Linked DNA regions of Styela clava. The protein of the gene in region 1 purifies or fractionates together with the protein of each later gene. This does not show direct contact. Links are inferred from orthologs where the notes say so. Each region holds a gene or a part of one and is shown in the gene's direction. Other genes may lie near its edges.

Region 1 (8,358 bases):
AAGTTCAGAAGTTTGGGTAAATACATGAAATAGGAAAATGTTTTGCTGGTCGACAATGCAACTAGTAGTAAATATTAGGGAAGATTGATCTGAATAGACCAGTGCTCGTCAACCTTTTTTGGAGTGGTACATCCTTTTCACTCTTTCTTAAAATCTGGTACACCCCGCCCATCCTACATTTTTAATACGTAAATAATGTTTAGAAGTTATATATATATATGTTTATGTCGACGTAATAGTTCATCATTTAGTTAATGTGAACGTTGTTCTTGGAATACATCATCTAGTTGTACAGAGCGAGATTATAATCTTGTTTCCAGTGCCCCTCTCATTAGTGTATCGACTACCTTGATTGAATTTTTTTGGGGGTTAAATTTCAATGATTGCAGAAAACATTTGTTTGTAAATGTATGACATTCGTACGAAAACGGTGAAAGCGTTTTGTGCAATTGATTGCGATACTTGGGAACTTCTAGTAGTGCTGCCCAAATTCGTTGTAGTTTTTATTCGTTTTGTACTCTGCATTTTGTACCGGATCTGATCGTAGTTCAAGCAGTTCGCCAGTGAGGTGGGCATTAGCAACCTCTGCACTTGCGAATGGCTGGACGGGCCATATTGGAGAACCAAGATTCTGATATTCAACAACCGTAAAATAGCTTCGAAGTTGAGCTGCAGCACGTCAATATGCTTGTTATATGTACAATTGACGAGAGATGTACGGTTGTATCGGTATCGGGTATGGGAAATATCAGCCAAATTTTTGGTATCGGTAGTGTATAGGTATCGGCTAAATGTAGACCGATATTTCCGTTATATTAAGCTTTTTAATCTGATTCAGATTGTTTTTAAAAATAAAATAAGTTAGAGAACTGAGGTTGAAATTATTTTTTGCGTGAAGCGATCATGTTCGCGGTATTTATCTCATTAAAAATATATTGTAGATCACCGTGTATACTCTAGTTCAGGGTGGTCCAAGGTTGTCGGCTCCGCGGGTCACAAAATCATTTTTGCATTGTTCGCGGGCCACAATAGTGCCAAGAATAGGTAAACAGTGCAATACAAAACGAATGCTTTTATTGTGCAAACACATAGCTATCAGACATAGCCATCCCAGGCTAATAGAATCTACATTCTATTTTTAGTTTTCTATGATGCCTACATCGTAAGCATATATTCCCGGCCAAAAAGATAGAAAGCCAGATAATAATTTAGACTGCCAAGCGCATCACTCAACTTTGCTAGTTACCTCAGCTAGCCATAACACTAGTCAGTTTAATGACATTAGTGATGTAACAATATGTCAAAAGATTTTCTGATTAATTTTATTACAAAACAACACGGAATGCGTTTTTTTTATTACTCTCCGAATGTGACGCGGGCCACAGATAACGAATCGGCGAGGATGTGGATTAAACAGCACTTGAATACGTTATTCCACAATGTCACATAGAATGAATGTGAAATTTTTTTTGACATGCTTCCCATTATCTTTAAAACTAAATTAAAATATCACCCGAGAACTGTATCTATTTTTAACCCAAGAAAAGAAGCATAGTACGGAACAAAAACACCCATTGTTCAATCGAACCGGACCTTACTAATGTCTTTTAGATTTTTTGCAATAACTTTGACTTGCCGTGTCGTAGAAAACAGTGATTCCCAACCGCAGATTACTGCCGGTCTACCGGAAATTTTGTTATTTCGACATTTTCTGCCTATATTACTGTTTGGTTGAATAAAATACAAAGTTATATGAGTATGTTATATAATTTGTTTCTGTCGTTAAGATCTTAAAAATGGGGTATTGATTGTCCGTTGGCGTCTCGTCCGACGAGGAATCACACTTTTCCCTTCCGATCAATCGCGAAATCGTTCCATGATTCTAGCAAATTTCTAAAGTCTAAAAGTCGAGAAATTGTTTCGGTTCACATCGTCCGAATAAAACATTGTTACATAAGTATCGTCGTATTTAGACAACAAAATAATTGGACCTTAAAATAAGAAAACATGTGAAACATGCCCTCCTCCATTCAAATTTCCTTTGTACAAAACGTCGAGTATATTTTTAAACTATTCACCTGTAAATGTTCTTCATAGAACTACGTTTGGTACCAAGAAAAAGTATATTTTCATTTATAAACCAAGCAAGACTAATAATTTTTTTTTTTTTTGGAATTTATTTTAAGCACTGTCGCAGGTGTTAAATTGTGCAAGTTTTAGAACTTGGCATTGATTGATTTCTGATTTCGAGTTTGATAGAGGCAATTTTTGCAAACTTCCGGCACAACCCTACTGAAGTGTTTGTTTTTCATTGAGTAAATATTTGATGACCTCATGATTAATTTTGTTTTGGATTTGTTACTGACACGTAGAACTCCGGCACTGTCTTTAGAAACAAACCCATATCAACTTCCTATAACAAAAAATGCACTCATCAATTTTGAGAAGCATTCTGCTCCGCAAAGAAAATAACAAACGTTTTCATTGGTAAACATGTATAATCACTCAATATATCAAAAATCATAACTTCATAAGTAATCACACAAAAGTTGAGACTCATTACATGGTTTTTCTATTTCAAACTTTTGTATTATTTTACTTTTGAATCAACAGAGAAATCTACAATATTTTAACACCGAGCTGAAATTGACAAAATAAATATTAATATTTCGAAATATTCTCACCAATTCTCAGAGGATCTATTGCTTTCTCACAAAATATTACGATTCATCAACTCTGTCTATATCTACACGTTTCGTCACAGACCCCGACGTTTTGTTATTATTCCGAATCCTCGATATATATATTTTATACGATGACGAAGATTATCAACTTTATTGTTAATTGTTTTTTTAAAAGACAAATAAAATAATTGCTACAACTTCAATTTCATTTTATGAGTCGGAATCTTGCTATTAGTTTTAAAAATAAAACACAGCTGAATTGTGATTTCAAATATTGCTGATCAAAAGATATCTTGAAAACTAACGGCCATCGAATGTCTAATTTGGGTTAGGAAAACAGACAGATCGCAATCGAGAAAACTCATTTCAAAATTTTTCCTTTCGATAACCAGCGCACTTCGGCGTAAGCCTCAAATCATTTGCTTTAATGTCTTTGCTAATTTCTGAAAATATTCTGTGCTTCTTGGAATATGCGACTGAACAAAATTAATACCTTTTATGATGTCACCGAGAACAATATCCAAATCACTTGTCTCACCCTTTTTATAGACTTTAGTTAGATCTTTTACGTCTTACGAGTACAACAAGAGCCTCTGGATATACCGGTATGTATCCTTAACAAGGTATTGAACTGCTACTAAAGGGTATAATGACGTTACACTTATGACAAGAAGATTACAGAAAATCGAAAAATGCCGTACATAAGTTTAAATGTATAGGTTTGATAGATATTACATACCATTGCCAATTTTAGCGTTTTTAATGCATAAATATGATGAAGATATATTGAATAAAATATTGACACCCACCAACGCAGCTTTGGAGCAAGCTGCTGCAAGCGCTACTGATGAAAAGGGTTCGATGCTAATAAACATGCTAATAAACAAAATTTTGCAACTTTGGAGCGTTTTGGGGTCGTTTAATAACAGTATCAATTGCCTTGAAATTTTCAGTGATCAAAGTGATGGCGCCGGCGCGAATGAATTTTCTTCCAAAACTTACACGACAATTATCACAGGTAAGCTACTGATTTTTGAAGCAAATTGAAAAAGTTGCATAATTTGGTGTAAAAACGACCAAAACTTAATTCTTAGATGACGATTCGCTAACGAAGCTGACACAATGCCAGTATCCATCGGACATGGGAAACTTCATTGGCGTTGAAATCAACGCACAAATCAAAAAAATTATAATAGACGCAGGCCCGTGTCGACCCCGAGGGCCTTTCCCGAAGAATACACAGCGGAAAAAAAGGGGGGTTTTCGTATCATATTACACAAAACAAACAAAGAGAAAAGATTTGAGTTTTTCTGATATTTGTACAGCCTTGGTGATCATTCTAACGTTGCCCGTAACTACCTCAACTGCCGAGAGTTCGTTTTCGAAACAGAAATTAATAAAAAATTATCTCAGGAGCGCGATGTCGCAGGAAAGGCTCTGTGAACTGGCGCTGCTGAGTATTGAATCTGAACGCTCGACCCAAATTGATATGACGAAGATGGTGGATGAGTTTGCTAACGCGAAAGCGCAAATTTTAGGTTACCATTGCCTTCTTATACCGACATGTTATGCTTTTTGACGAAATAAAAAAATAGTAATTTTCTACTTTGAAATTTTGTTTTTGATAAATGAAAATTAACGATATCCCCCGAAAATAAGCCCTAGTGTTATTTTTCAAAAAAAAATGAAATAAGACACTGTCTTATTTTCGGGGAAACACGGTATGTAAATCCTATCCGTCGATCGCTATGGAAATACACTACACCCAACCCCCGTAATTTAACAATACCGGTACATTTAGAAATATAAGTAAGTATAAGTTTATTCCGACTCCATAATCAGCAATAGACGATAAAATAATTGATAAAAACTAAATAAATAAAACTGATTATAGAATCGGGAAAGCAAACGAAAACTCAAGTAAGGTTATTTTAGGTGGGAAGGTATTGATAAAAGAAGTATTACGTGTTCGCTCACTCAAATAAAATAAATAAAAGTAATAGTGTTTTAGCGATAACGACAATCTTCAACTCACTGAAAATTTAGGACAACATAAAAAAGAACACTACCAACAACATCATAATAACAAAACGATCCATTGGCCCATTTTGTGTCCAACAAACAAGTTAAAATCGGTTTTGAAACGTCAAGGAAACGTCGCCGCGTCAAAACGTAGAGATTACGTTCGCTCGACTGACTGTAGTCACGTGATACATCGGTTAAAAACGCATGTACGACTTCAACATCTCATTACGGCGGGTTGCCTGGGTGCGTTCGGTTGTGTCAGCGTTAGCAGTTGAGGGAGTGTTTTCGTTCGTTTAATTAATGTTGTATCAATGGAGAGGTTTATCTGCACAAGCGGTTCCATAATTGTGAGTATACGCTTCGGGCTCTCTATATAAGTTTTTTTTTCATAATACAGATCAGATAGGCGATTTGTAACTGTAATCAGGCGCTTACATTTTCGAGAGAGGAATTGGAGGGGCGTGGCCCTGGTCACGACCACACTGGAACGAGATTTACTTCACACATCTGTTTGGCCGATTGCGCCGTCAATCATGCGATTGCAATATCACGTAAACAATGGCCAAATCAAGGAATATTGCCTCGCAATGATTTACATGTGTTAATGGTGCTTAGGTTAGTTTAATGCTTGGCACATCATTGACCTATCACATAGCAAAAATTGGAATTATTAAGTTGATAAGAAATTATGTGTGGAAAACAGTTTAATTATATGTCTGTTTGCTAGTTCAATTAATCAAAAATTAATCTTGTTATTTTTATTTTCATTCACTTTCATCAAATATCTGTCTAATAAATTTAGATATAGGCCTATGGTCATTCTATGAAGAACAAAGCCAGGGAGGATCCATAAAAATCATAAATGTTTTTTAGTTAGTCCATTTGAAATGATCCAGCTCTTATTCATTTTTGGTATTTTATTGTTTGAAAACATGGAAGGGTTGCATATAATTCGATATTATTTAATAGGCCTATTTGACTATGCACATCTGGGAAATTCCGGGGAACTAAGAACAAACTAGCAAAAAATAAAAGTGCTCAATATTGTTTTTTTACAGGTTCTAGCTTCTATCCATTATCTTTCAATTACATGCATCATGAATCATTTTGTATCACAAACTTCATTAATGAATTTACAGTCTGCAAAAATAAAGACCATCATTTTAGACAAATAACATAAATTTGTCTTTACTGTGCGAACTTAGAGACACTATTGACTAGTGCATCTCATCCTAATCAGAATATATTCTAGATCTGCATCCAAAAATACTCTGTATACTGGTATAACAGAACTTCATAAAACGACTGATCGTTTCAATTAGCAATGGCAACTGTGCAAACATTATCTCCTTCATCAGAAGGAAGGTGCATTTTACAATTGTCCAATACTGATACCATTATCACAAATGAAGAAGACTTTCTGAAAAATGACAATGGCATAAATTTTTCAAGTGCCCCTGAATTTGTTGAAAGTGAGGAAAATGTTAATCAAATTCATCAGGCGGGAAATAGAGGTAGAGCAAGAAGACGCAAGAGAAGGAACAGTTTTAATGAACATTCTAATATGGGTAAGACAATTTTTATAAACATGCTTATATCAATCAGATAAAGAAATAAAAATATTTCATAAGTGTGTATAGGACTGGTCAAAGTATTCAAATAGCAAATCTTATATTATGATGTTCGAATGGCACTTTACTATTCATGTACCATGTGTACCATCACTTTGCTTGGGACAAGGAACTCTCATGTTGCAAAATCGATGGCCTGGAATTGTACGAGAATTTACCCACGGCTTTCACAAACAGACAGAAACGACAAATTTGTATAATCACAAATTCAATATCTTTGCGTTGAGATGTTTTTTGCTTTCTTTTTTCGCAATTGTATCATTTTCAATCGTTTATTTTGCTAATAAAATGTTAAAATGACATTCTCAAGAGACCATGCATGTCGGAAAAGGAAATTTAGGTCATCAGAAGATGTGAGTTATATAAATAGCATCAATTTGAAAATGGCAACTCAGATTTTTAAAAAGCATCACTTCTAGCCTAGATAAGGCCATATCCCTCTAAATTGACTTTCTATTAGCTTGGCATGTATTTTCAGTGATCTATTCCTCCCTTACAAAGTAATGTTTTGAAAATGTAAACATTCACTTGGCCATGCATGGTGGTAAAATTGTAAACAATAGGAGACGATGTAATGAATCTTGAATATTCTTGTAACAATGCCCATTGGCTCGTTTACGACTTGTTGCGCCCAGCCTATCATCATCGTAAATGATACATTATTTCTACATTTTGAAGCTTTTGTGCAGTAATATTTAGGGCGTGACCTAATCGAAATAGGCTAGTTAATTGTTGAATTTTCAAATTTCGTAAATAAAATTGTGAATTTCTTGGTAACGATTTTAGCTGTAATAATGATCTTAACCCTCAATAGACACAAAAGCACTTACCGGTAATAACTTCATCTCGCCCAATGACCACATAGAAATCCCTATTATTTACTATTTTAAATCAAAGCAACATTCAGGATTCTAGTATCACAGCTTTGCAGAGTTATCTATTTGATACAAAAATAAGACAGACATCATAGAAAAGCATACATCAGTCAATTATCGTCCTCATAAATATCTGCAATCCGGTGTCGATAATGATAACATTGTTATCTTAAAACTAGGACAGTTAATTTACAAACAGTGTGTCCTTTCGATATCATGCCCTGATGAAGTTTTTCTGTATAGAAATTCGAAACGTCGGCAAATTACATCGTTTTGTGCTAACACCGGTTGTGCTTCATTTATTATCAACATGAGTTTACCTGGTGGCAATCACGCACAGTGATAGGGAGGTCAAAGCCGACACGAATGATCATAATAAAATTAATCAGGTCCTGAAATAACACCTCAATCTGTCATCAATATGAACACACGTATAAATATTATATACATCGTATAAATATTCAAAATATAAAAAGAATTAATACTAAAAAGAGAAATGGCTGGAATATATCTTATCAAATTTACGTTTTCGGTCGTTAAATCAAACGGGATAAATATAATCAGCGGTTATGTCAAAATTAACCAGTATAAAATCAACGTTGTCATTGAATTTGCAATGTTTACATTATTTAATTTTAAAAGGGAGTATGGACCTCTGACGTTCTGGATTCCTATTGTGTATTAAAAATATTCGTTATTCGAAAAAAAAATATTCGAATTGTTTGATTCGAAAAAGCTATTTGATTTTGCCCACCCCTACTTATGTATTTGTATAAGCTTTGTTGTTTTTTATGTAACATTTCTTATATCTCAGTGATTTGAAATAGACAGACAACAGACTATCTTTCAAATTGTATTAGTGGTACTTTGGATCTGTAGCAGAATATGCGGAATTGACTATTTCTTTGCTCAGGGATAGAAAACTGATAGACTTGAGATAATGAGGATACATGTTTAAAAAAGATATCTTTAACTTTATAGGTAGCAGCTGCAATCATCAAAACGGGAAACGTCGCAGAGGAAATTGCAATCATCATAATCATCACAAAAGGCAATTGAACGCCGGTGGAAGAATCATCCTTCCTAATAAGTTCTTGTTGGGTGGTAATATAGCAGATCCTTTAAATCTCAATTCAATGATGG
Region 2 (7,710 bases), on another chromosome or scaffold:
CCATTGAAGTTTGAAATGTTCAAACTGAAGTGCCGAAAGTTGGAGGCGCAGTTCTTACCACTTCATGGCAGCTCCTGCCACGAACGAACCGCGGCAACTCTTGCCATGGTTTTATAGCGCTATCCAGTAATCAGTATTAACGGTATATTCACAAATTAATGTACCAGATTTCAAATGGTCATGCGGAATAATATCTACTTAAAGTTAAACCCTACCCTAACCCTAAATTCATCAAAACTGTATCCATAAGAAAACGTTCCAACTTACCCAATTTTTGTCACCATAAGGAACAGCCCTGTCTTTACGGCCCACCTGCCGTGGTTATGGCAGCAAAATTTCACCTGCCATTGGTTTCCAATTTGCTGCCGCGGTAACGCCAGCCTGTCATTGGTTTGTGGCAGCTAAAAAGTCAGTCGCCATAGGTTTGGCCGTAGCGGCCATGGTATGGAAATATCGTCATGGTTTTGCGGCAGCTGCAGACCCCACAGAATACTTAAACCTGCACTTGGAAAGTCGAACCTGTAAACAGGTCAGCAGCTCATGAAATTAAGATTGAGTCACCGGGTACTATAAGAAGCCATACCAAGATGGAATATGGTACGCCGGATCACACTGTTCATGCAATGGCGCAGCTGACGCAAGCTTTACAGGGAGGAATGCTGAATGTAGCAAGCAAGGTTTATAAAGAACATCATGGTAACAAAACGATCCATAGGTACATTTCGTATCAAACAAGACAACAACATAATAACACAAGATAGCGACGTAAAAATATATGGACACGTGAGCATTTTGCCAATTTCCGAAAATAATACCACAGTCCATCGTTCGACATGAAAAACTTCCCACTTTTGCTAAGTAGTAGATCCATCGGCAAACGCCGAGCACGGAATCAGGTGGCGTGCGTTCGCAGAACGTTCGGTCACGTCATAGCAAAGAAAAAAAGAATTCCACAGAGCTAACAGAAATATATGAAATAAATAAAAGTCATGGCCTTCTAGATAGAATTCTCCAACCACTGAAAATTTTGAAGATATTGGTCCAGTAATCAAAGATAGAAGCGACTTTTTAAGTTTTCTACTAGGTGTCCAAAAATAATGCAAAACGATCGCTATATCCACTAACGTGTAACGATGCATAGGTCCACTTCGTGTCAAAAAATAAACATCAATGTGGACAGGATATTCCCAATATTCGAATCCAAAAACGTTCGAAGCAATGGCTGGTAATCACCAAAATTTTTTGTTGCGTTATATTCTCATATTAGTCCCTATTCATTGATAAATTCATAGTTTTGCCCCCGGGACCGGAAAAGTTCAAAAAAATCTTACCAAAATTTTAAATTTTTCCACAATTCTCAATATTCGAACCCAAATAAGTTCGAAAAATCGCAGGAAAGCACCAAAATTTTTTTGGCCCGTTGAGTTCTCATATTAGTCCTCTATTCATTGGTAAATTCATATTTTTGCCCCCGGGACCGGAAAAGTTCAAAAAAATCGGGTATCCCACCAATGTTTTCACAGGAAGCATCGCAGGAAAGCATCAAAATTTTTTTGTTGCGGTGGGTTCTCATATTAGTCCTTTATTCATTGGTAAATTCATATTTTTGCCCCCGGGACCGGAAAAGTTCAACAAAATCGTTGCACAATTCCCAATATTCGCACCCAAAAAAGTTCGAAAAATCGCAGGTAAGCACCAAAAATTTTTTGTCGCGGTGAGTTCTCATATTTGTCCTTTATTCAGTTGGTAATCCATATTTTTGCCCCCGGGACCAGAAAAGTTAAATAAAAAAAATCAATTTGTTTTTTTACCAAAATTTTCAATTCTTGCACAATTCCCAATATTCGAACCCAAAAAAGTTCGGAAAATCACAGGTAATCACTAAAATTTTTTGTCGTGTTAAATTCTTATATTAGTCCTCTATTTAGTGGTAAATTCATATTTACCATGAATCCACGATGAATATTGTAAAAATGTAAATATAACTTCTGTTCCTCATTTTACGATTCATGGCACACCCTGGTATGACACCCGGTAGAATGTTTAAAACATTTGGCTGGAATTTTGCTGGCATTGCAGTGGCGTAAAAACAAAAACAAATGTGATTTCATGTATGTACATTATTCTTCAATACTTTTTTTTTATTTGTCACTTTCTCTTGCTAATAGAACTTTTTTTCAATGGATGATGGTGTTGAATAATGCATATTTTCTGTACTGATGAACACATTTTGTTACCATGAAAACATTTACCGGTACTGCTATTTTATTGCTCCACGAGAATTATTTATTCATTCCCTGTTAATATTTATCAATTTTTGGTTGTTATGCTTTTCATTACACCCAGCTTAAGTAATTACTACCGGTAATTAGTTTTCACAACTTTTTCACTTTTGTGAGAGATTTTCGTTTTCCACTGTGTTATTAGTATTTGTTTTGATACTAACATTAAGTTTGATATCACGACCGCCATACTTACTTCCTTTGTTGTGTTTTCCATCACTAGTTCTTTTTGACAATTCACTTTCTATATTCTTCACTAGCGAATTATTCCACATGTTTTGTAAGCTGTTTTACACTGGTATCTGCAGGCAACACATTACAGCGTTATAAGAAGTGCTGTGACTGATCGTATTAACACGCATCGACCATATTTTGCCATCCCTAATCTGACATGCTTCGACTGTATTTTGCCATCCCTAATTTAACAAAATTAGACCGTATTTCGCCATCCCTGATATGACCTGTGCTACCAACCCCGCACAATTATTCTGATGAACTTGATTCATTATGCAAATATATATAAGGTAAATATGAGTACATCTGTTACCAAAATGAAGTGGAACTAATTCTTAAATTTTATTTTTATGCATTAATTAGAAGAGGGTAATGATACTTGGCATTACAGCATTATGGAACATATAATCTATGATGACACCAAATGGGATATGCAGATATATGAAGTACCCGCTATCATGTGGATACAACTGATCAATATAAATTATGGAAATTGTTATGTGTCATCTGTATGTAATGATTTATATTATTATTTTATTTATCATCAAAGAAAAAAGTACAATATAAGGGTTTCAAACTTGAAATTTTAAATTAATAGGCCTATTATAAAATAAAGTACTGTTTAAAAATTTATGAGCTGGAAAGGATAAATTTTCTTATTTGTGTGATGTATTGGAAATTTATAAATAATTAAAAAACAATTAGATGGTTGGAGCTGGAGCCACTGAAATTGTTGGTAGCTCCATCTAACATTTTAGGCTTGGCTCCAGCTCCACCAAAATGTCACAGCTCCCTGGATCCTCAGCCGGGTTTGAAACATAATGCCGCATTTAATTCAGATATTAGAATACAGATATTGAATATAGTTAAAATTGCCACTATGCCACGTTATGCTCAATTGGTGATGGGACCTGCTGGAAGTGGGAAAAGTACATACTGTTCAATGATGGTGGAGCATTTTTCGGTGCTAAAACGGAAATGTTATGTTGTAAACTTAGATCCTGCTGCAGAATATTTTGATTACCCTGTCGAACTGGATATCAGGGAACTTATTCATTTGGATGATGTGATGGAAGATGAAGAGTTACGATTTGGGCCTAATGGGGGCTTAGTATTTTGCATGGAGTATTTTGCTAAAAATATGGACTGGATTAAAGAATTCATAACAGACATGGAAGAGGATAGCTATTTTCTATTTGACTGCCCTGGTCAAATTGAACTATACACGCACTTACCTGTTATGAAAACTTTAGTAGAAAATTTACAAAATTGGGACTTTCGAACTTGTGGTGTATTTCTCGTTGATTCGCAATTTCTTGGAGAGCCAAGCAAATTCATATCAGGTACATTGTCTTCGCTATCCTGTATGATAAATCTTGAAATAACACATCTAAGTGTAATGACCAAAGTTGATCTTCTTTCAAAACATTCAAAGCGAGATCTTCAAAAATTTTTAGATCCTGAAATGCAAAATCTACTTTTAGCAGACATGTGTGATACATATCATGATAAAAAATATCAAAAACTTACAGAATCTCTTTGTCAAATTATTGACGATTACAGTATGGTCAGATTTCTTCCACTTGATAGATCTGATGAAGAATCCATTAATATAATACTTCAGCATATTGATACAGCTATGCAGTTTAGTGAAGACCAACCTGTTCGTGTAGAAGATTATAATGAAGATAATGAAAGGGATGCAGAAGACTAGGGTTGCTCCCTCTGCTGTCTATCCGGACGAAGCTGGGTATGAGTAATAAATAGGTCACGACCTTCCTGAACACATCCAAAATTGGGACCATCATCAAAAATCTGTGCACTATATTGTTTCACTTACAATTTCGAGGACAAATAATGGTTGATAACAAAGTAATATGGCGGCGAAAGAAGTACACGTCGTAAATGCTTGAATAAGCCAAACAGGTGGTGATATCATTTTGTCAGACCCATAATAAGCGCCTTTTTAGCGTTCTGATTTACTTGTTTTCAGAAGGCAGTGATACAATTTTATATCTTGGGTATATATGATGTTCCATCTTCGCTGAGTCTTTAAAATAGTGTGATTGTGTAACTTTTTCATAATATTTCTATATGTGAAAATTTTATAGAATGGAGTCTCAATTTCTGAGACATTTGAAATGAAATCTTGTGCTGAATGATCCTGTTCTATTGTGAGTTTATTTTATAGTCGTATATTGGAAAGTAATTTTCGCTTCTAGAAGTAGGAATGGCTCCATCGTTTTTTTTAATGCATAATTCTGTTCTTTACAGTATCTTATTTTGTATATTGGTTATCAAAAGGAAATGTGAATCTTTTGTGTTGCGAAATTGAACTTATATCTTGATTTTATCATCAAGATGCCATGTTTTGCATAAAAATCAGCTTCATCTTGTTGAAACTGACTAAATCATGTCTGTAATGGATTGTCTACATCTTTTTACTTTCACGCCATTGATTATATTTCTTGCATTTACATAATCATCAAGTTTTCATATTTTCTTGCAGATTTCATGCACTTTACTATGCTATGGCTTTGAACAAACACATGCACCCAAGGAATGGGTACAAAGATAATCCTCCAGATTTTATTGAACTATCGAAACAGTATCCTGAATTTAAACCATATGTCAAATACAATCCAAATGGAAAGGCATTTGTAAATTTCCGAATTCCGTCTGTTGTAAGAATATTAACAAAATGTTTATTACATAAGGACTTCGAACTTGATGTAGATCTTCCTTCAGATAGGCTTTCTCCTACAGTTCCATCTCGTTTAAATTATATTCTATGGATAGAAGATTTATTGAATGCTACTTCACAGGAATTTACCAAGCAAAGGCATATTGTGGATATCGGCACAGGGTCAGCCTGTATATATCCGTTACTGGGCATGAGAAATAACCCAGACTGGAAATTCACTGCAACTGAGATTGATAGTTTAAACTTCAAAAATGCTGTTAATAACATAGAAAAAAATTCACTAAAGTCATCGATAAAAGTTCTCAAAGTTGACAAAAGTGCTACAACTTCTTTGCTATTACATTTATTCCAAGATGCAAATGATGGATTTGATTTATGTATGTGCAATCCACCCTTTTTCAATGACTCAAGCGAAATAGAAACTAAAATCGGTCCCATTGCAAACTCATCATGTCACGCAAATGATGTTGAATCAATAACAGATGGTGGTGATCTTGCTTTTGCTCACAAACTTTTTGAAGAAAGTTTAGAATTAAAGCAAAAAGTTACTTGGTATACAATACTGATGGGAAAGAAAAGCAGCTTTGTTACATTCAAGAAGCAAATTTCTAAATACAGTGAAATTCTAGTTACAACATATGAATTTTGTCAAGGAAGAACTATCAGATGGGGCATTGGGTGGAGTTTTTGTTCTGATATGATTACAGAATCAAAATTGCCACGTTCTTCTCTACAAAACGCGACTAAAAACTCGGAAGTTGTTAAGCCAATTACGTTTTCTTTACGTAAAACATTAGAATTAAATTATGTGTATGACTCACTTAAAAGAGAACTCAGCATTTTAGGTATTTCATTCATGGAAATAGAAAATAACAAAAATCTTGTTATTTTAAAATTGCAATGTGAAAAATGTAATTGGGTTCATATCCGCCGACGATCACGGAAAAGAAAACTTGATGGCGTTTGTAATGGAGGTTCTGTCAAAAATCTAAATCTAATCGAGGAGTCACCTTTAACAAAAAATCATTCCGATTGCACATTACCAAATGGAGTTGCGTCAACCTTACTTCAATGTGAAGTTACAATTCTCAAAGATTTTTTCGATCATATCAAACTTCAATTTAAGACTGAAATTCGAATCCAAAAAGAAGTTATGAATACACTTGTAGTCTATCTAAAACGTATTTTACTCTCTGACATTACATAATAAAGATTTTTCAGTTCTGTTTATACTACCAGCTTTTTACATCGTTAATCTTTACTTAAAGCTGTTTTTAAATTTTTTATCTGCCCTGGTAATTTATTTTTTAATAATTCAGATTTTTTAAGATTCATGACTCTGATGTCATAGTATTTTTTAGGCAGGTATACTTTATGGTTACAGTAATTGGGGCGGTATTGACTTTAGGCCCAAATAATTTTTTCATGTAGCGAAGTCAATAAGATAAACCTGCTCAGTCAAACGGTCTCGTATCTAACAAATTTTGTGAAATTGATGTCATTTTTGAATAACTTGACCTGTTTCATTTTTCATTGATTACTGTCTGCCAACCAGCATGTAACACAAATGCAAGGACACATGAACCCCTTTTGGATATTACTCTGTACTCTTCATTTACAGACCTTACTCTAAAAGTTTGATATCATTGTTTCATCATTCCATAAGTTGTTTTATTAGATCATCGAAAATGTCGAATGAAAGCAGCCAATCTCTTGATTCTCCTGCCAACGAGGCAGTGATGGCTCGTCTTTTGGAATTGGAAAACCGAACAGGATATCGTAAGTTTTGTTGGTAATTTTAATGGAGATAAAATAATTTGAAACCAGGGCTGTTGAGCTTGTTTAAAATTACAATGAATGACCCCAGTTACAGAACCCCTTTATATTCTATCTGTGGCTCTGGCAAAGCTTTATTTTTTACCTCGAAGCTAGGCTTCTGCTCCATTACTTTTGTTGTTTATTGATTGATCGCAAGCATGATACATCAGCTCCTGGTTGTGGAATTTCAATATTATACTTTTATTTATTACTATTTTGGTTACAGATTAAAAATGATTGCTGTGTATATACTGTGCTAGTGCTATGTAAGTTTCCTTTGGAATAAATATAACAAATCCTATCCCATTGCATCATTTTTATCATAGGTATGCAACAATGCAATGGCCAAAGAAGATATTGGAATCCGAATTGGAGTGGACCTCCACCTGCTCGTGGAACCGAAGTTTTTGTGGGAAAGATTCCCAGAGATTTATTTGAAGATGAAATTGTTCCTGTATTTGAAAAGGTAATGTAGTAAGAATGAGTAGTATGTGGGGACATTTTCATGAAAAATCATGACTTCAAAATTGGTACCTCCGTAGTGTATGTACCAGGTTGGGGTTAGGCCATTATTTTATTCCGATATTCCTTATTTTAGTTATATTGCAACTTGCAAGTTTGTGGACTGTCTGTGTTAGCCAAGTGAATATACCCCCTGCCCTTATAGGTTTC
Region 3 (8,303 bases), on another chromosome or scaffold:
GATAAAATACTATCATATATTTTTTGAACAACTTCAATCTAGACCAGGGATCTCAAACTCGCGGCCCAGAGAACTTCCAGTGCGGCCCTCGAACGCTTAACAATAATTGTAATAGTATTTTGGAAGTTTTTTTTTTTATCTTAATGTAATAGATTTTTCAAACCTTCTAAAGTGAAATTGATTATTCACACAGAAAACAATTTACTGAAATTAGTTTTGGAATATTAATTTTTTTTGTCCACATTTTGACCCAATTAAGAATACACATCAAGCTAGCAAAAGAATACTTGAATAAAACACTTGAGTAATTAAATTAAACGCAAAGTACATGAAGAAGGTGGCATTTTCGAAGAAATGGGAGTTGTAACATTTCTGCTCTTCACAAAATTCTGAAGCACATTGTTTAATTTGTCATATTTTCATCAATACAATCAAAAAACACAATAAGCTCAGCAGTCAATATGACAAATTCGAAGACCAACTTCGAACAGAAAATTTCCATGTGTTTGTATATTAATATAATTATACAACGACTTAGTTACTAAAAATCAATATCAATAATAATTCAAGCAATCCTATGCCACGCAATGTAGTGCGAAATGTCTTGTCGAAAAAATCTGTCATTTGTTTTTTACTGATCTATACATGAAATGATAAAAGTAACTTTTTTGCATTACTGGAATTAATTAAACATTCGTAAAGATCCAGATAAACCCATGATCATGTGGCCTCGTTAGTTAGAGTTGGTACTATAAAATCATTTCGAACTGGCCTTAGTATGCTGGTGACACAAAAAAGATGCCAAACGCCAGGACAAATGTAATTATTAAAACATTGAGTTTATACTGTAGTATTTTTGTTAATTTTAGGTTCATATATTTGGATTAAGTTATTTTTAGTGTATGTATTATTCTTTCCTTATTCAAAACTTGTTCAAAAATGATTTTGATGGTTGTACATAGAATTTTACGATTTTTTATAATAAATACTGTAACTTGCAAATGTTGCAATAATAGTGGAATGCAAATATTAATATGTAATTGCATTTGAAATTGAAGAAAATAATAAAACTTAATCCAACTGTTTAGTTGCATCACAATATATGTCACAAACTAAAACTATCTTAAAAATATCTTTTAAGTATACATTATCAAAAACTGTTTGCGGCTCTTTTTACAATTTTCAAAATGCAATGCGGCTCTCAAAAACCCATGAGTTTGACACCACTGATCTATTCTAGACGATTCAAGCATTGCTTTGGGAAATTATATCACTTCAATTAAATTGAAATAATCTCGCTATATTAAATACAAAATCGTTGCTGTCATAAAGGTAAACCAATTCAGCCACTCGAAATATATTGGCCTTCACAAAGCCATGGAGGCAAAATTGAGAGTTCATGAGCTATGAACATTTGTTCTTTTCTTTGTCTTGAACTTTTCATACTCCACAGCCCCTATTAGTTTTTTTAATTTTAATTACCATGTGATGGTCATACATATCTTTAACTTGTATTTTCTGTCATGATGTATTATCTCAATGTGCCAAACTATTAATTAGTGTGCATATTTTGCTTCCAGATGACATAAATGTATTGTCATGTTTATTACCTCAGCTTGGAGTATTGACAAGAAAAAGGTGCCAGTAAATTAGGCAAAAAAATTTTCAATTCATTGTTATAATCAGAATTCACAATCAATAGGAATTATAAACAGCCAACAATCAGTGAGAATTATATGCGAAATTCCTCAGAATAAATTTGTCTAAAATCGGAGGAAGACAAAAAATATAGGTAGTTTCCATCCACACAAGCATTTCAAGAAGACTTGCTCGAGCCAAACTAAATGAGCATCGTCAGGTGATCGGTAAGGCTGCAAGTTGAATTCAGCCCTGCAACCTCCTGCATAGAAGATAATATTAATTAGTGGGCTATGAGCTAAATTCCTAAATTTAAACAAACCTATCTACGATGCATTATGTACCAGCAATGTTACCTACGATTAACTGAATATGTAATATGTCTAATAAATTCACCTACAAAAGCAAGTTCGATAGGTGCAAACCTTGTGTTATGGAATTGTATCGCAGCACAGTTTTGTATGACACCCTCTTTAAATGAAATTTCAATGATTAAGCGCAAACAATAAAATTACTAACTTTGAACTTTGTCATTATTTGCAAAATGTTCCACACAAATCTTTCCGCTATCGCGTTTGTAATCTTCTCTGATAAAAAAAAAACGTCTATGATGTCCAGAATTGCTCTTTACAGCTTCCCTGTTATTCCAGCTTTCCAAGTAAGCAAAACTTCTTAGATATAGAAATTATTTTGTTTCGTTACAGGCGCAAAAAGGCAGGTACTACACGTAAAAAAGACGCCGAGTAGCAAAAGCGAGCGGAAAACGGACGCGAAAGGCGACGAGAAATATGTGCATTGGAGCGTATCATGAAATATAATGTTTCGCCTGTAGTCTTATGGAGTGACGTCAGAGTTGCCTATCATGTTGTTTAATGTCATTGGACAGACAGAGAGGATCACATATTTCTCCTAGTGAAAGCGCCTTTTTCGTAAAACGTGCAACTTTTGGAAATGGGAACAAATTATTATTTGTTACTAAATTTCCTAGAAACATTTTAAAATTATTCCCAAGTACCGGTAGTTCCCTTATGTGCGCTACGAATCTGAAAGGTAAACGGCCTCGTCTCGCTGCCTAGGAGGATTGTAGAAGGCATACCGTACCGGTACCGGTACAGTATAGCTGTATAGATCAACTTCCAAAGAGTGGGGCGTAGAGTTGGTATACAAAGATTCATTTAATAGGATAGGATAGGATTTATATATTTATCCCGGGGGAGAGGAAAGCCGATAAGACGGCTTATCCATATGGCGAACCACGGCCTCTCGTCCGGTTACCATTCCAAGTCGGGTACCGGTATGGGATTAGCTTTACTGTATTGTTTGTTTTCGGAAGCATGGACTTGGTGGTGGAAGAAGCCGTAACCGACCAGCGGTTACGTGAACCACCCAACGACGGCGAGGAGTCCAGCAATCCTCTCGCACATAACCATCCCTGCATGGGATTCGAACCTGCGAACCCACGCAGAGTAATCAGAGGTGCGGTGGCGAGCGTATTCCTAACGCTTAGCCCGTTGAGCCACACCGCCGCGCCTAGTTAGTAGTAGGCTACCGGTAACAGTCATTAACATGTCCAGTAAAACATATACACCCGGTTAAGCTATTTTACGAGTTGTTTAAACATGATTTAAGATTGTACCAGTACGGTATATATCCTGATATCCCATACCCGACTCGGAATGGTACCGTAACCTGACGAGAGGCCGTGGTTTGCTATATGGATAAGCCGTATCATCGACTTTCCTCTCCCCTGGGATAAATATGTAAGTCCTATCCTATCTTTGATGAACTATTGATATTTTTATTAGTTAGTAAGATGGGTACTATAAGGATTTTATGGGTCTGGTATAACACATGCACTTCTAGTTGGCCTGGCTCAACAATTTTTGCATATGTCATTCCTAAATCATTCAAATAATTACGTCACTACGAGTCCACAGTGGCATAATAAATACCGCTAAAAAGTGCGGATGGTTGTCCGAAACGCGCAGACAATCACTCGAGATCCAGCAAGCTATTTTTCTCGTTGCAACGATCCCGATATGAGAGAGACCGCTGGCGTTAGTGAGTTCGGTATCGTCGGCGCAGATGCCATTTCGAACGATGGTAGCAATACTTGGCAAGCTCTATGATGTGATTGTGACGTAATTTATGGATGACATAGTCAGGTTGGGGTTAGGAATAACATATACAAAATTCGTTACACACCGGAAGTACTTGTGGTACTATACTAGACCTGGAATTTATTATATATAAGTTAACTACTGTTCTAGAAGAACTTTGGCGAACCCATGAAACAGTTCCACTGAACCCCAGTGGTTCGATCGTTCCCAGGGTATAAACACTGACTTAAAGGTATCTCGCATGCTATCTCAACACATCACGTGTGCCGTATGTGTATTGATATTTACAAGTTTCAACTTTAAAATTTTTGTAACACATCAAAAAATTTTAATTATATCATAAGAGCATTTTAAATTTTTAATCTAGTGAGAAATGAGGACTTTTTAGAGCATTCTCGGAGGACGTAAAATTTTCAACGAAAAAGGAGGACATACTGACGTATGGTCACCCTAGTAAACCATATATGCTGTCAAGAGACTTTGTGTTTCTATGCAGAGAAAATTTCTGGGGTTAGAATATCCCGGAGAAGGTCTATGTCTGTATGTAGTCAAAATTATTCTGATTCTTTCATTTTTTCCTGTATCACTCGTTTATATAGAATTTATTTAAAATGTTTTGCACTTCCTACTCAGAGCGTAACTGCTTAACAGTTGCTGGGAAAACGGCAAAGTTGTACCATACAAAAGTTTCATCTTCAACTGGTGAACCTGTCAGTTGTTCTTGTATTTTGAATTACACTCCTAATGGAAATACAATGTCTTACTTATTTGTTGGTTTATTGCCATGGTTATTGATGTCTGTGGTATATATGTTCTGGTATATGCCAAGTAAATTTATACCAATACTCTGGTTGATTGTTGTTGTTGCTGTATCTGCATATTTACATTTTGCATACCTGATTGAAGAGAATATTTTGCTCATCAGAAGATATGGCTTACAGATTACTCGGACTTATTTTACTGGGCGAAAAGTTTATGAATTTTTTCCGAAGATTCTAATTAATGACATTACCATGAAACAAGCTGTTAAAATGCATCAAATTGTTTGTTTCATCAACATACAGACTCGTTCTGATAACATCTTGCATGTAAAACCAATTATTTTATCTGTCATCGACGAAGATACACTTAAGTTTGTTTACAAAGACATGCAAAATGTTTTGTTTTACAATCGTACATAAAGAGCATTTATAAGTTGATATTTAATAAAAGACATTCTGTAGAACAGAATTTGAACATATTTCATAGCTATGTCACTGTGCTGCTGTGTGATGGTTGATTGCTTTTTTACAAAAATTTTCTGATGCAACAGATTTTGTTACTATTAGTCAAATTTTGATCAGTACCATCAGTTTTCAATGTTTTTTGTAAAATATTTATCTAGTATTTTTACTTACTACTTCAATTAACAATTGATTTCAAATTGAGTATTTGGCCATGAGCAAAGAAGCCAGTTTGGACTTTCCATTATGCCACGATGTTGCCAAATATGAAAGAATCACAAAAATTGGACAAGGGACTTTTGGGTATGTTTAATTTTTTAAAGCCATTGTTCGTTATCCTAATAACGTATTCATGCACTGTTAACAAAGCGTATTAATTATTCTTTCTACTCTCTCATGGTAACAGTTGGTCTGGTGATCAGCTGGAGCAGAGTTGTGGAGTCTGGTACTGTGTAAATATTAAGCTGAAATATTTGTGAAACAAAAAATGAACTAATTATGATATGAATGATAAAGTTTTATACATACAGGGAAGTATTCAAAGCAAAAGATAAAAAGACTGGACGGTATGTGGCACTGAAAAAAGTGATTATGGAGAATGAAAAAGAAGGAGTAAGAAGAATGTTAACATTATATATACATTTATAGAAGCCCATTTCTGATTGTAACAGCTGGTATTATTTTAAAAGTGTATTGCATCTTGGGCTAGTTCATAGACATCGGTCAGAGATTGCTGATTTTCTAACCTAACTATAATACTAAATTCTGAAAACTGAGGACTATCATCTGAGAAATGAATATTGTGATAGCAGCCAAGCAACTATCAGTCATTTTCAATAGCATGGCAACGCATTTTTGTGAGACTTCTGTGTATTATATATTTTTGTAAAAACCAACAAATTTGATCTTACCCTAAATAGTTATAAATCTTATCTCAGTTTCCGATAACAGCACTGAGGGAGATTAAAATTCTGCAGCAATTAAAACATGAAAGTGTGGTGGATTTAATTGAAATATGTCGTGCAAAGCCTACTCAGTATAACAGGTTAGTTTGTATTTTGATTTTTTCTCGACCTTGTTAGTAACATACCAATAGTGCAAATTGAGATAATACAGTATATAAATATAAGATATTGTATGTTTATCACATCTAAAACACTTTGTGGTATTTGCATGTGATAATTTTAACCATAATTACCATATTTCAATAATTTTTAGGTATAAAGGATCAATATATCTTGTGTTTGAGTTGTGTGATCATGACTTAGCAGGATTATTGAGCAATGCAACTGTGAAGTTTACACTTGGGGAAATTAAAAAGGTAAAATGTAAGTTATCGTTAATTAGGAGTGAAATAGGTTTTATTATTGTTCTCAGAGACTGTATATGTGGGAAATTATTTCCCGTACAGTGCTTAATTCAGTTGAATATAAAGATAGCATCTTGATTTGAGATGCTCGATTTTATTTTTAATTACTTATTTCATTTTACTATTCCTATCATTAATATTGACACTAGGAGATATGAACAGGTATCAAATAGGATATAAATTCTAAACTAGCCAACCTCGATTTGATCTCAGGCTAACATATGAAACAAGAGAGCAAAAATTAGCAACAGTGACAATTTTACATTAGGTTCAGATTATTTCGACGATTCCCTCTAGTGGTCAGAGCTCAGAATCATTTTGCATGACTAATCACTTAATGTATGCTTCTGCGCCAGACCGCTAGTGCGTTTATGTTTAAGAGTAGGGGTTCACAACCTGTGAGAAAATGGAAGTTGGTATCATAAAGACATCACACATTTGCGCACTCACGGGCATGCTGTTGATATTAATGGCATTTTCACAATTTGAAAATTTAATGGTCAATTGCTTGAATGCTCTTTCCTTCCTAACTTATAGCACAGCGTATTCAATTGTTTAGATTATGCAGCAATTACTGGAAGGATTGTTCTACATCCACCGCAATAAAATATTACACCGTGATATGAAAGCTGCAAATATTTTGATTACAAAGACTGGAGTCTTAAAATTGGCCGATTTTGGTCTTGCAAGGTATCGATTTTCGTTAAAATACAATTTTCAGTAGAGGCTCAGGCAAGAAAAATAGGAGCACTGGAAAGAAGTTCATTGTTAAATAGGGTGATGTTTAACATTTAAGATAATTGTGTGGTGGTGACCACAAAGATATGAACTGAATTCTTTTTATTCGTTTTTATATTGGAGTATCTTTTCAGCATTGTTCGGAGATATTTTGATGTTAGCAAAGTTGTCAATAAATACCGCTGTGAAACGAGAAATGCGACATGAAATTCATTTTCTTTCAAAATAAGTAAATTTGAAGTGCACTCATACCTTGTTTTTTTACAAATACAGAGCTTTTAGCTTCACGAAAGTTGGGCAAGTCAATCGGTATACGAATAGGGTAGTTACATTATGGTATCGACCTCCTGAACTTCTTCTTGGTGAAAGGGACTATGGTCCGTCTATTGATTTATGGGGAGCTGGTTGCATCATGGCAGAGATGTGGACAAGGAGTCCTATCATGCAAGTATGTGTCATCCATATTAAAAATTTTCAACTTTGATTCCAAATCATAATATGTCACAGACTCTCATGTAATAAGCCACATTCTCATGAATCTGAATGCATTATTCTGAATAAAATTTAGCACAATTACCAATAAAAACTGACTGGTCAATGTACTGTAATTTCTTTGTCACAGGGTGACACAGAGCAAACACAACTTAAATTTATATGCCAGCTTTGTGGATCAATTTCTCCTCAAGTGTGGCCTTCTGTAGAAAAATATGACTTGTATAAAAAGTTTGAGTTGCCGAAGGTAAGTTTACTCCATCATTTTCAAATTGTAAATAGTGTGGTTTTTACTTCCAATTTTGTACTATTCTTCACAGGGCTCGAAAAGAAGAGTGAAGGAGCGTTTAAAAGCATATGTGAAAGATCAATATGCATTGGACTTGATTGATAAACTGCTTTGGCTTGATCCGAAGAATAGGATAGACTCTGATAATGCATTAAATCATGATTTTTTTTGGACGGAACCTCTCCCTTGTGACTTGACAAGCATGTTGTCTCAGCATAAGACATCAATGTTTGAATATCTTGCTCCGCCACGTAGACCAAATCCGCATATGAAAAATAATCAAAGGCACCACCCAGCAGCTGGTGCTGTTACTAAACAGCAGCCCACAGATCCAAGTTATGACAGGATATTTTGAGGATCTTGGGTGGTTGAAATATTTTTGTCATCACTGCCACAGTTTTTTTTTTTTATCCCAAGCATTTTGTTTTATCATT
Region 4 (7,590 bases), on another chromosome or scaffold:
AGCTTGGCCACATATGGAGAAAGGCAAGAAAAGATAATGCTATTGCTTAGCCCTGCAGTAATAAAGTGATCGGACAAAACGATATAACGCAGCGACAAGAGAGCGAAAAACATTACCGTATATATTTTTATACAAGTGAGTGCCTTCTAAACATACTCTCGGATTCGGATTTTATGCTTGATTGGGGAAATCTGAGTGTTGACAGGGGCCGGGTTATGGCACGCGGGCCGCCTGTTGCACACCCCTGCTCTAGGTCATCACACAATGCAGTCTTACCTCATGTCCACTCCATCCAGATATTTGCATCAAGTCCTGTATACAACCTCCATAATATACATTGCCTTTGGTGAATTCATGTACCCTCTCCCATGATACAGTATGGTTATTATCTCCATTGTTACCGTTTCTAGATGATTCTATAATCTTTTTAAATGGCCTCTTGTAATTTTGGAAGAATCCTGGCTTTTTTGCTTCAACGATAATAACATCAAATGCATCTCTCCAATCTTTCCCAATAAGATGCTTCATTCCAACATTAACAAATTGCAAGTTACTGTTGGTAATGAGAAATAACTTTCTTCCATTTGATGTTAAGTGATCAATCAGATGAGTTAAACTATTCTTTTTAAGATACTTATCCACATTACCATAAACTTCTTGAAAAAGATGGCCTGAAAAAGAATAATGATTTGTTGGTTAACACCAGAGCTTCAATTTCAGAGCCATAGTAGTGATGGTGCGGGCAAGCCTGCAACGCTGCAAGGAATTTTTTGCTGATTCAGATGACATAACAAATAATGACAATGTGAAGTGAGAAAAAATGGGTTTTAGGCTAACAACCATTTTTCAAAACCCAATTTTACTCACTGTAAAGCATTTGCAATAATGATGCAACGTCTACAGGTCATTAATGTGAAAAAAATTGAAATTGATATAGCTGTAAGACTTGACAGCATTTACTGATATCTACATATCAATGCACCATACTAAATTCTGTCAACAAATGTTGTTTTACTTTGCAATCAGGCAATTTCAGAGGACAGTGTTATATACATTATGGGATACTCCGGCACACATTAATTCCCCCCAGTTCGAACAGATCTTCATGGCTGAAGATTGGTATCGTGGGGTTGGGTACAATTTGTTTTTTGTACTTCCTGGAACAGTTGTCATAGTTACAATTTTAGTCAACCAGGTGTTGTTTTATATCTATTTGGAATCAGATTTAAAGTTTCAGAGGCACAGTCAGGTTAATGAATAATCAGCATTTAATGTTAGGTTCAAAAGGTTACTATTGTTAAAAATGAAAGAATCATTCTCACATCATCAATACCTTCTAAACTTAATCAATTACAAATGATGATCAGTATTAGACTATTAGGTGTGAAAATCATGCAGAACTATATCCAGTACTTGAAAATTAATGAACAGGTGACTTAACATCAGAGATTAGGTATAATACATAATAGTCATTAATGAATTATATAGGGAATTTCACCAAAGCCTCGAAAAGAATTATATCCTGATTCATGATTTCGGGTTACAAAATTAATAACTTGATTTATGTATAGTCGTCGAGCTTCAATTCAGGTATATTCAGATCTACTATAAACTAAAACATACCTCCAACATGAACTTGCTTGACAGCTGCTTGCACACTCTCAAATAAAATCTGTGGGTCATAAGTTATATTATTTTGGACAAAATACTCTACGACATTGGTGAGCAACATCATTTCAGGCATTGAAAATATATCCAGCAACTGTCTGAGAGAATTTCCTCCAAAGAGAGATTCATCCATGATACGTTTTGGAATATGACGACTTCCTTTAAATAGAGACAGTACTTCATCTTCACTAAGCTGTTTTAGCCCCCTGTTAAGAACAGATATTAAAAAAATTTATATGAGTATTGATTTTCAAAAATAAAGAGTTGTGCTAATTTTTTCCACTACTGGCTTGACTTCCGCCTCAGCTGGTCAAATGAAAAAATGCCTTTTCTCTATTGTATAAAATATATCTCAGATGTATTCAAATATTCGATGCATTCACAGCATCTGGATGCTATCAATTCTATGTTCAGATATGGGATCTTCATATTTATCCTGGGGCAGTGGAAAGCCAAGTAGACGTCTTAATCATATTGCAAGCATGATCACTCAAACTCGAAATAGGTGAGCAAGTCAATTAATACTTGGATGACAAGTTTTCAAACCTTCATGATTCGTAACTTTTAAAGACACTGAACAAGTGGAAACGTTTTTTTATAATTTTTTTTTATGGCTGGTGAAAGAATCTGTATTGGACCAGCAAATACGTGACCTGCACACTGCACCGCTGTCATCCTTATCTTTGTTATTAACATGTGATATGTAATATTCAAATTGTTTTACCTGTACACTGAACCCAATTGAATGACGTGACAAGCATCTATTTTCATGAGTAAACTGCGTTGAATGTCATAATGAAGACCTCTAATGCAGAACCCTGGAACGTACTTGTAGTTCAAAAGCTCTTTGGGAAAATGGAACTGTTTGTGTAATATTTCAGTTGCTCTGTCATATATGAATGTTTGCATGTCATCAGAATAATGAGCGAGAGTATAATCATAGTCAAATCCATAAACTTTTATTTCTCCCAAATTGATTTGATTAATGGCAAAAAGTCCACGAGGATTAACATTGCAAATCTGTTGATGGTCATCAAAAATAAGAGCTCTCAGTTCGTTATAACGATTCTGCATAAATTCTTGATTTGAACATGACTCTTGTGAGAAAAAACGTGGACATATACTCCTTCCTTTCAGTCGACCAATCAGCGGCCTTAAACAAAAACTTGTTGACATTGTGGATCACCTGAAAAGCACAATTATGGTTTATTTTCATTTCTAAAACATATCACAAATAAACGGCCAAGTCTATATCAAAACAATTTTCAACATTCTCATAAAAATAATTTACTTTCAAAATGCCTCAAAAACAAGATATTTCAGAAAGGAATATATAAACAAATTACTGAATTTACTGTCATACATTCAACCATGAAAATAATTTTATTGATAACTGTCATTGCTCTGTTCGTATCATACATCCTAAAGTCTGTAAGCTCTATGTTGCAATCAGCAGTCATCCCACTGCAGCACTGTTGTGCATTCAGGCATTGTCTCTATTTCAATATTGCAGTATTGTGGGTTATTTCATGTTTCAAAAGCTATATTTGATTACAATCGTACAAATTCTCACTGGTATGCCTACATCAAAAACTACATGCATAACGACTCACCTAAATAGCTTTTTCCGTTAACAGGTTAAGTAAGACAGCGATGAAGTCTGCAAGCCAACAATAAATCCTGAACTAACTCGATTGCCAGAACACAGTCTCTGATTGTTCCGACGTTATTTTCAAATATATTGTCGAGGCATTTTAAAAAGAACTCATCCACACCACTGTTTATTATTTGGAAGACAACCAACATCCAGACATTGCTCCCCACCTGCCCACGGTGATACAAACGCAAATAAATGCCGCAAGGTCTGAAGATTGCACAACTTTATACCGTGCCGACTCAAGCATTAACCGGCCAGACAGTCAGACAATATTATTTGGACCAATCGCCGCATAGTCTCACTCTAGGCTCCGCCCACAATGCGGCATCTGTTGAAATTAGTTTTTAATGCGGTTGTTCCATTCAATCCAACGACTAACGTACCGATTCAATCCTATCACTTGTTAGCGTGCATGCCTCGCACTGGTATATTTATAGCATGAAAACGATTACATATCTTCGTCTATAGTTGTTCATAATCAATCAGTATGAATTTTCTGTTCTTTTCCGGGACTGTGTTAGGATTCCATGCGCATTTGTTGAAATCGGTTTTTCAGTGTTTAGGAGAGTTTTCGAGGCCACTGTTGCTAATATTCCCGTCTGCATGTGGGAAAGTGTCGTAGCCATATTCTGAAATACATTCATACCTATTTTTCCGGCTTTTCATAATCAATCAGTGAAGATTTTCTGTTTGTTTGGTATTAATTTGTAACGTGAGTAGGGGATCATCTTGGCGCGGCCGATTTCGAAGGTACCGTGGTAAAACAGATTTTCCTGTTTGCCCATTCAGTCATTGATACTACTGTACTATCGTATGGGATATCTGGTTTTCGCCTTGTGCTTATACGGTACTGTTATAAACCAGTAAACACAGAAGTTGACTGGGAGTTAAGAGAGTATTTTACTTAACAGATTATTATCTGGATATATGCATGAATAAGTAAACTGTTCCAAATAAAAAAGACAGAAGGATGTCTGACTCCGATTCTGATGGTGAAGCTCCAAGAAAGATTAGGAAGACTGTCCAATATGGAAGCATTGAAAACAGAGTCGGTATGTCTGGGGAAGAAGCAATTCAGCTTGGAATTAAAGCAGGAAATATTAATATCACCAACATGAGTAAGTATTGATAATATATGTTATGAATTCTGCGTTACTTTTATCACTGTATTACAGCATTTTTATAGTTTTTTGTGAACACAATTTACATGCATTTCTCTCTGAATAAGGCTGTATACAAGCAGTCACTTATATTGGGGTACACAACACACGAGGCCACATCTTGGTAAAACTAAATTGATATACAGATATACTAATATCAACTTCCATTGCATCAGAATTTTAATTAGGAAGTAGGTTTTGCTTCAATTTGGACCCACTATTTAAATATGTGGTTTCAACATATCTAAGTGCAATGCTTTATCCACTGAGCTGTCACTCTAACTTTTTACGCAACATAATTTATTATGTTTTCAACTGAGAATTTTGCTTCCTATTCAATTGAAATTTTTAACAGGTGATACCATGGAAATGTCAATTGAAGACAGAATAAATAAACGACAAGCAGAAATTCTTGCTGAATTTGAAAGAAAGAAACAGCTACGACAAATCCAAGTTACAACAGATGACGTAGAGGTATTATTATATTGGATCGACTTAAGCGTCCTGAAATTGACTACCCCAACACATTTTAAACTTAGTATTAAATTATAAATAAGGATCCCCAAAATCTAAGTAAATAACTCTTCATTATGAGAATTCAATATTATAACTTCCTATGCTTAAGATTATAAGTTTTTTTTTCAAAACATTTACCTTTTTAGTGGAAATCAAATCAAGTCAAAACTGAATTTGGCTTGGACCATGTTCTGTTTACATAAAATTAATAGCTTCACAGAATTTGTAAACAAAAAAACTATGCATTCATAAATAATATGCATAGGAAGCCTTATATCCTTACTATGATCTTCAAAGACAAATTATTAAAAAGCCCCATTTTTGACTGTTCATTCAAATGTCATGTTTTATTTTTTAGTCAACAAACTTCATCAGATTTAACTAGGAATAAAACTTTACAAACAAAAGTAATGATTTTTTACTAATAGGGTATATTCCTAGTCAGAGGATTTTCATACGAAAACTTTTTTGTGGAACTGCTAACACTTACATTCTTATACCCGCATTTTCTGCTTCGTACAATTCCATCCCAACTATCGAGTATAGTAGCATAATTCCAGTAATAATATCTTTTCAAGTTGTTGTTTAGGCCCAATTTGTGTTAAAAATTGGAATAATAGCTATTAGACAACATTATGTGATTAAAATAGGTGAGAAAACAACTTCGAGAATTCGGCGAACCCATAACCTTGTTTGGTGAAGGTCCTGCGGACAGGAGGGAACGTCTCCGTGAGATTATTGGACTCATTGGTGAAGATAATTTAAAGAAAAACAAAATTTCAGAGAAGCAATTGTTGGCCCAGAAAGAAAAAGAAGAGGTAACGTTTAAACTGATTAAGAGATTGTGATTGAAAGAACGGATTATGTGTAAAGAGGCTTATAATATTCTTCCTTTTAGCTCGCTAAGACAACATGGTATCACGAAGGTCCAGAAAGTCTAAAGGCAGCAAGAATGTGGATTGCTGACTTTTCTATTCCAAGGTAACTTTTTTGATTTTTCAAGGAAAGATTGGATAACGTAGTATTGCTCAAGTAAGAGAGTAATGATTATTGATCACACTGATAAAATATAAACTAACCTGATAAAAGTGGTAATTTAGTAAAAATATAGAGTAAATTAGAAATTAAATACTTTCTGTGTAAACTAGTGGTGCCAGTTCATTATAAATTGAAACTTAAAATATACGTTTATTCGAACCGTTTGTCCTGAACAAGGCCCTATTCAAGATGCCACTGATATATGAAGAGCCACTATTTTTGTGGAGATCCAAGTCTTTCCAGTTCATCATTGCCTACAGTGGGGATGGGATTTGAACCTAATATGTGTATCACAGTTAAGTCAACTACTAGGCCATGGCATATTATTGTAGTTTTGATATTGTCAATTTTTGGAAAATTTTTTACTGAAATATATTATATATTGTTTCAGGGCGAAGGCAAGGTTGCAGAAAGCGAGAGAACAACAGGAGCAATCAACAACACAAAAACATGCAAGGGTACAAGAGATACACAGGCATATGCGAGTATGTTCATTGACAAAATCAGCTGTTACTCGAACAGAAAATTATATAAGGACTTGGACTTGATATTCCATAAAAGTCGAATTATTGAATTATTTTATATTGTGCACTGAAATGAGTAGTTTATAGCGTGGCTGTGACTCCTGTGAGGTAAAAAAAATGAGGTCTCGGAGCTGAACCCACAGTTTGAATATACTGTGGCTCCGTAATCATTGTGATTTTGCCAAGCCAAATCAGTTTTCAAGACCTGAGAGTAAAACTCAAACCACATATTTTAGTTGGTTATCAGCTTAGGTAGGTGTTGGAATAATTGACCAACTGTACCACAAGCTAACAAATATGATGAACAAATGATCAAATATATTTACTTTTTTAATAGGCGGTAAACAGTGTCGGAAGTCAAATCGGTGATTCAAGGCCAATATCTTCTTGTAAATTCAGTCCTAATTCTAAAATACTTGCAACAACGTCATGGAGTGGTTTGTGTAAACTGTGGTCAGTTCCTGATTGTGAGGAAATTAATACTTTAAGAGGTATGTGATGGTAACTGTTGTTCTTTTAATTGTATGTTACAGACAACAAAAGTAAGAAAGTTAGAATTTGATATCTGTATATATGCTGCTTCTCAAAATTATTTTTCATTTGAAAAATATTCAATGTTTGGAATTTGGGTTTTTTGTCATCCCTAATGGGCCTAGGGTCCAAGATACTAACTTGACTGGGTTGTCGTCCCAAGTTGAAAATAATGGGTTTCAAATTCTAGTTAGTCTGATTAGTGCATGGCCCACAGAGTGCCTAAGATGCACTCAAAAGATGAGTCTCTCAAGCGCAGTGTTTCTTAATCTAAGGTTGATCGAAACCTGCAGTTCGGTTGAGTTGTTCCAGGGGGTTGACAAAGTTCCTGCATTGATTTAAAAAATAAAAAAGTAAAGCATAACCTATTCCAATCACGTATATCTATGGAATATAAGTATTGTTATATCAATGTTGTCTATATATTGTTTTATTCAATTACTTTTGCAGGACACAATATCAACGTCTGTTCTATAGCATTTCATCCACAAGCTAC

What was found. The genes of interacting proteins can lie anywhere in the genome.
Region 2: the proteins of 7SK snRNA methylphosphate capping enzyme-like (region 1) and RNA N(6)-adenosine-methyltransferase METTL16-like purify together in Homo sapiens (affinity purification with mass spectrometry; 3 studies listed by BioGRID). This does not show direct contact. The link is inferred for Styela clava from reciprocal best matches to the Homo sapiens genes MEPCE and METTL16.
Region 3: the proteins of 7SK snRNA methylphosphate capping enzyme-like (region 1) and cyclin-dependent kinase 9-like purify together in Homo sapiens (affinity purification with mass spectrometry; 10 studies listed by BioGRID and IntAct, counting the BioPlex papers as one, with this or other methods). This does not show direct contact. The link is inferred for Styela clava from reciprocal best matches to the Homo sapiens genes MEPCE and CDK9.
Region 4: the proteins of 7SK snRNA methylphosphate capping enzyme-like (region 1) and U4/U6 small nuclear ribonucleoprotein Prp4-like purify together in Homo sapiens (affinity purification with mass spectrometry; 4 studies listed by BioGRID and IntAct, with this or other methods). This does not show direct contact. The link is inferred for Styela clava from reciprocal best matches to the Homo sapiens genes MEPCE and PRPF4.

Annotation. Positions count from the first base shown.
Region 1 is NC_135252.1:268,224-276,581, reverse strand, and holds the start of 7SK snRNA methylphosphate capping enzyme-like, read left to right. Parts: upstream 1-5,036; 5' UTR 5,037-5,056; intron 5,057-5,767; 5' UTR 5,768-6,033; coding exon 6,034-6,277; intron 6,278-8,196; coding exon 8,197-8,358. UniProt on the Homo sapiens protein: S-adenosyl-L-methionine-dependent methyltransferase that adds a methylphosphate cap at the 5'-end of 7SK snRNA (7SK RNA), leading to stabilize it.
Region 2 is NC_135263.1:14,653,678-14,661,387, forward strand, and holds RNA N(6)-adenosine-methyltransferase METTL16-like, read left to right. Parts: upstream 1-5,042; 5' UTR 5,043-5,047; coding exon 5,048-6,427; 3' UTR 6,428-6,842; downstream 6,843-7,710. Other genes in the region: GPN-loop GTPase 3-like, read left to right, coding at 3,397-4,230; uncharacterized protein LOC120340733, read left to right, coding at 6,909-6,999, 7,365-7,504. UniProt on the Homo sapiens protein: RNA N6-methyltransferase that methylates adenosine residues at the N(6) position of a subset of RNAs and is involved in S-adenosyl-L-methionine homeostasis by regulating expression of MAT2A transcripts.
Region 3 is NC_135257.1:5,451,482-5,459,784, reverse strand, and holds the start of cyclin-dependent kinase 9-like, read left to right. Parts: upstream 1-4,935; 5' UTR 4,936-5,195; coding exon 5,196-5,284; intron 5,285-5,511; coding exon 5,512-5,593; intron 5,594-5,919; coding exon 5,920-6,026; intron 6,027-6,199; coding exon 6,200-6,302; intron 6,303-6,909; coding exon 6,910-7,040; intron 7,041-7,361; coding exon 7,362-7,536; intron 7,537-7,710; coding exon 7,711-7,827; intron 7,828-7,900; coding exon 7,901-8,224; 3' UTR 8,225-8,303. UniProt on the Homo sapiens protein: Protein kinase involved in the regulation of transcription.
Region 4 is NC_135254.1:14,595,676-14,603,265, reverse strand, and holds the start of U4/U6 small nuclear ribonucleoprotein Prp4-like, read left to right. Parts: upstream 1-4,222; 5' UTR 4,223-4,295; coding exon 4,296-4,443; intron 4,444-4,840; coding exon 4,841-4,959; intron 4,960-5,651; coding exon 5,652-5,819; intron 5,820-5,899; coding exon 5,900-5,982; intron 5,983-6,430; coding exon 6,431-6,524; intron 6,525-6,900; coding exon 6,901-7,054; intron 7,055-7,544; coding exon 7,545-7,590. Other genes in the region: 5'-nucleotidase domain-containing protein 3-like, read right to left, coding at 277-671, 1,624-1,874, 2,393-2,844. UniProt on the Homo sapiens protein: Plays a role in pre-mRNA splicing as component of the U4/U6-U5 tri-snRNP complex that is involved in spliceosome assembly, and as component of the precatalytic spliceosome (spliceosome B complex).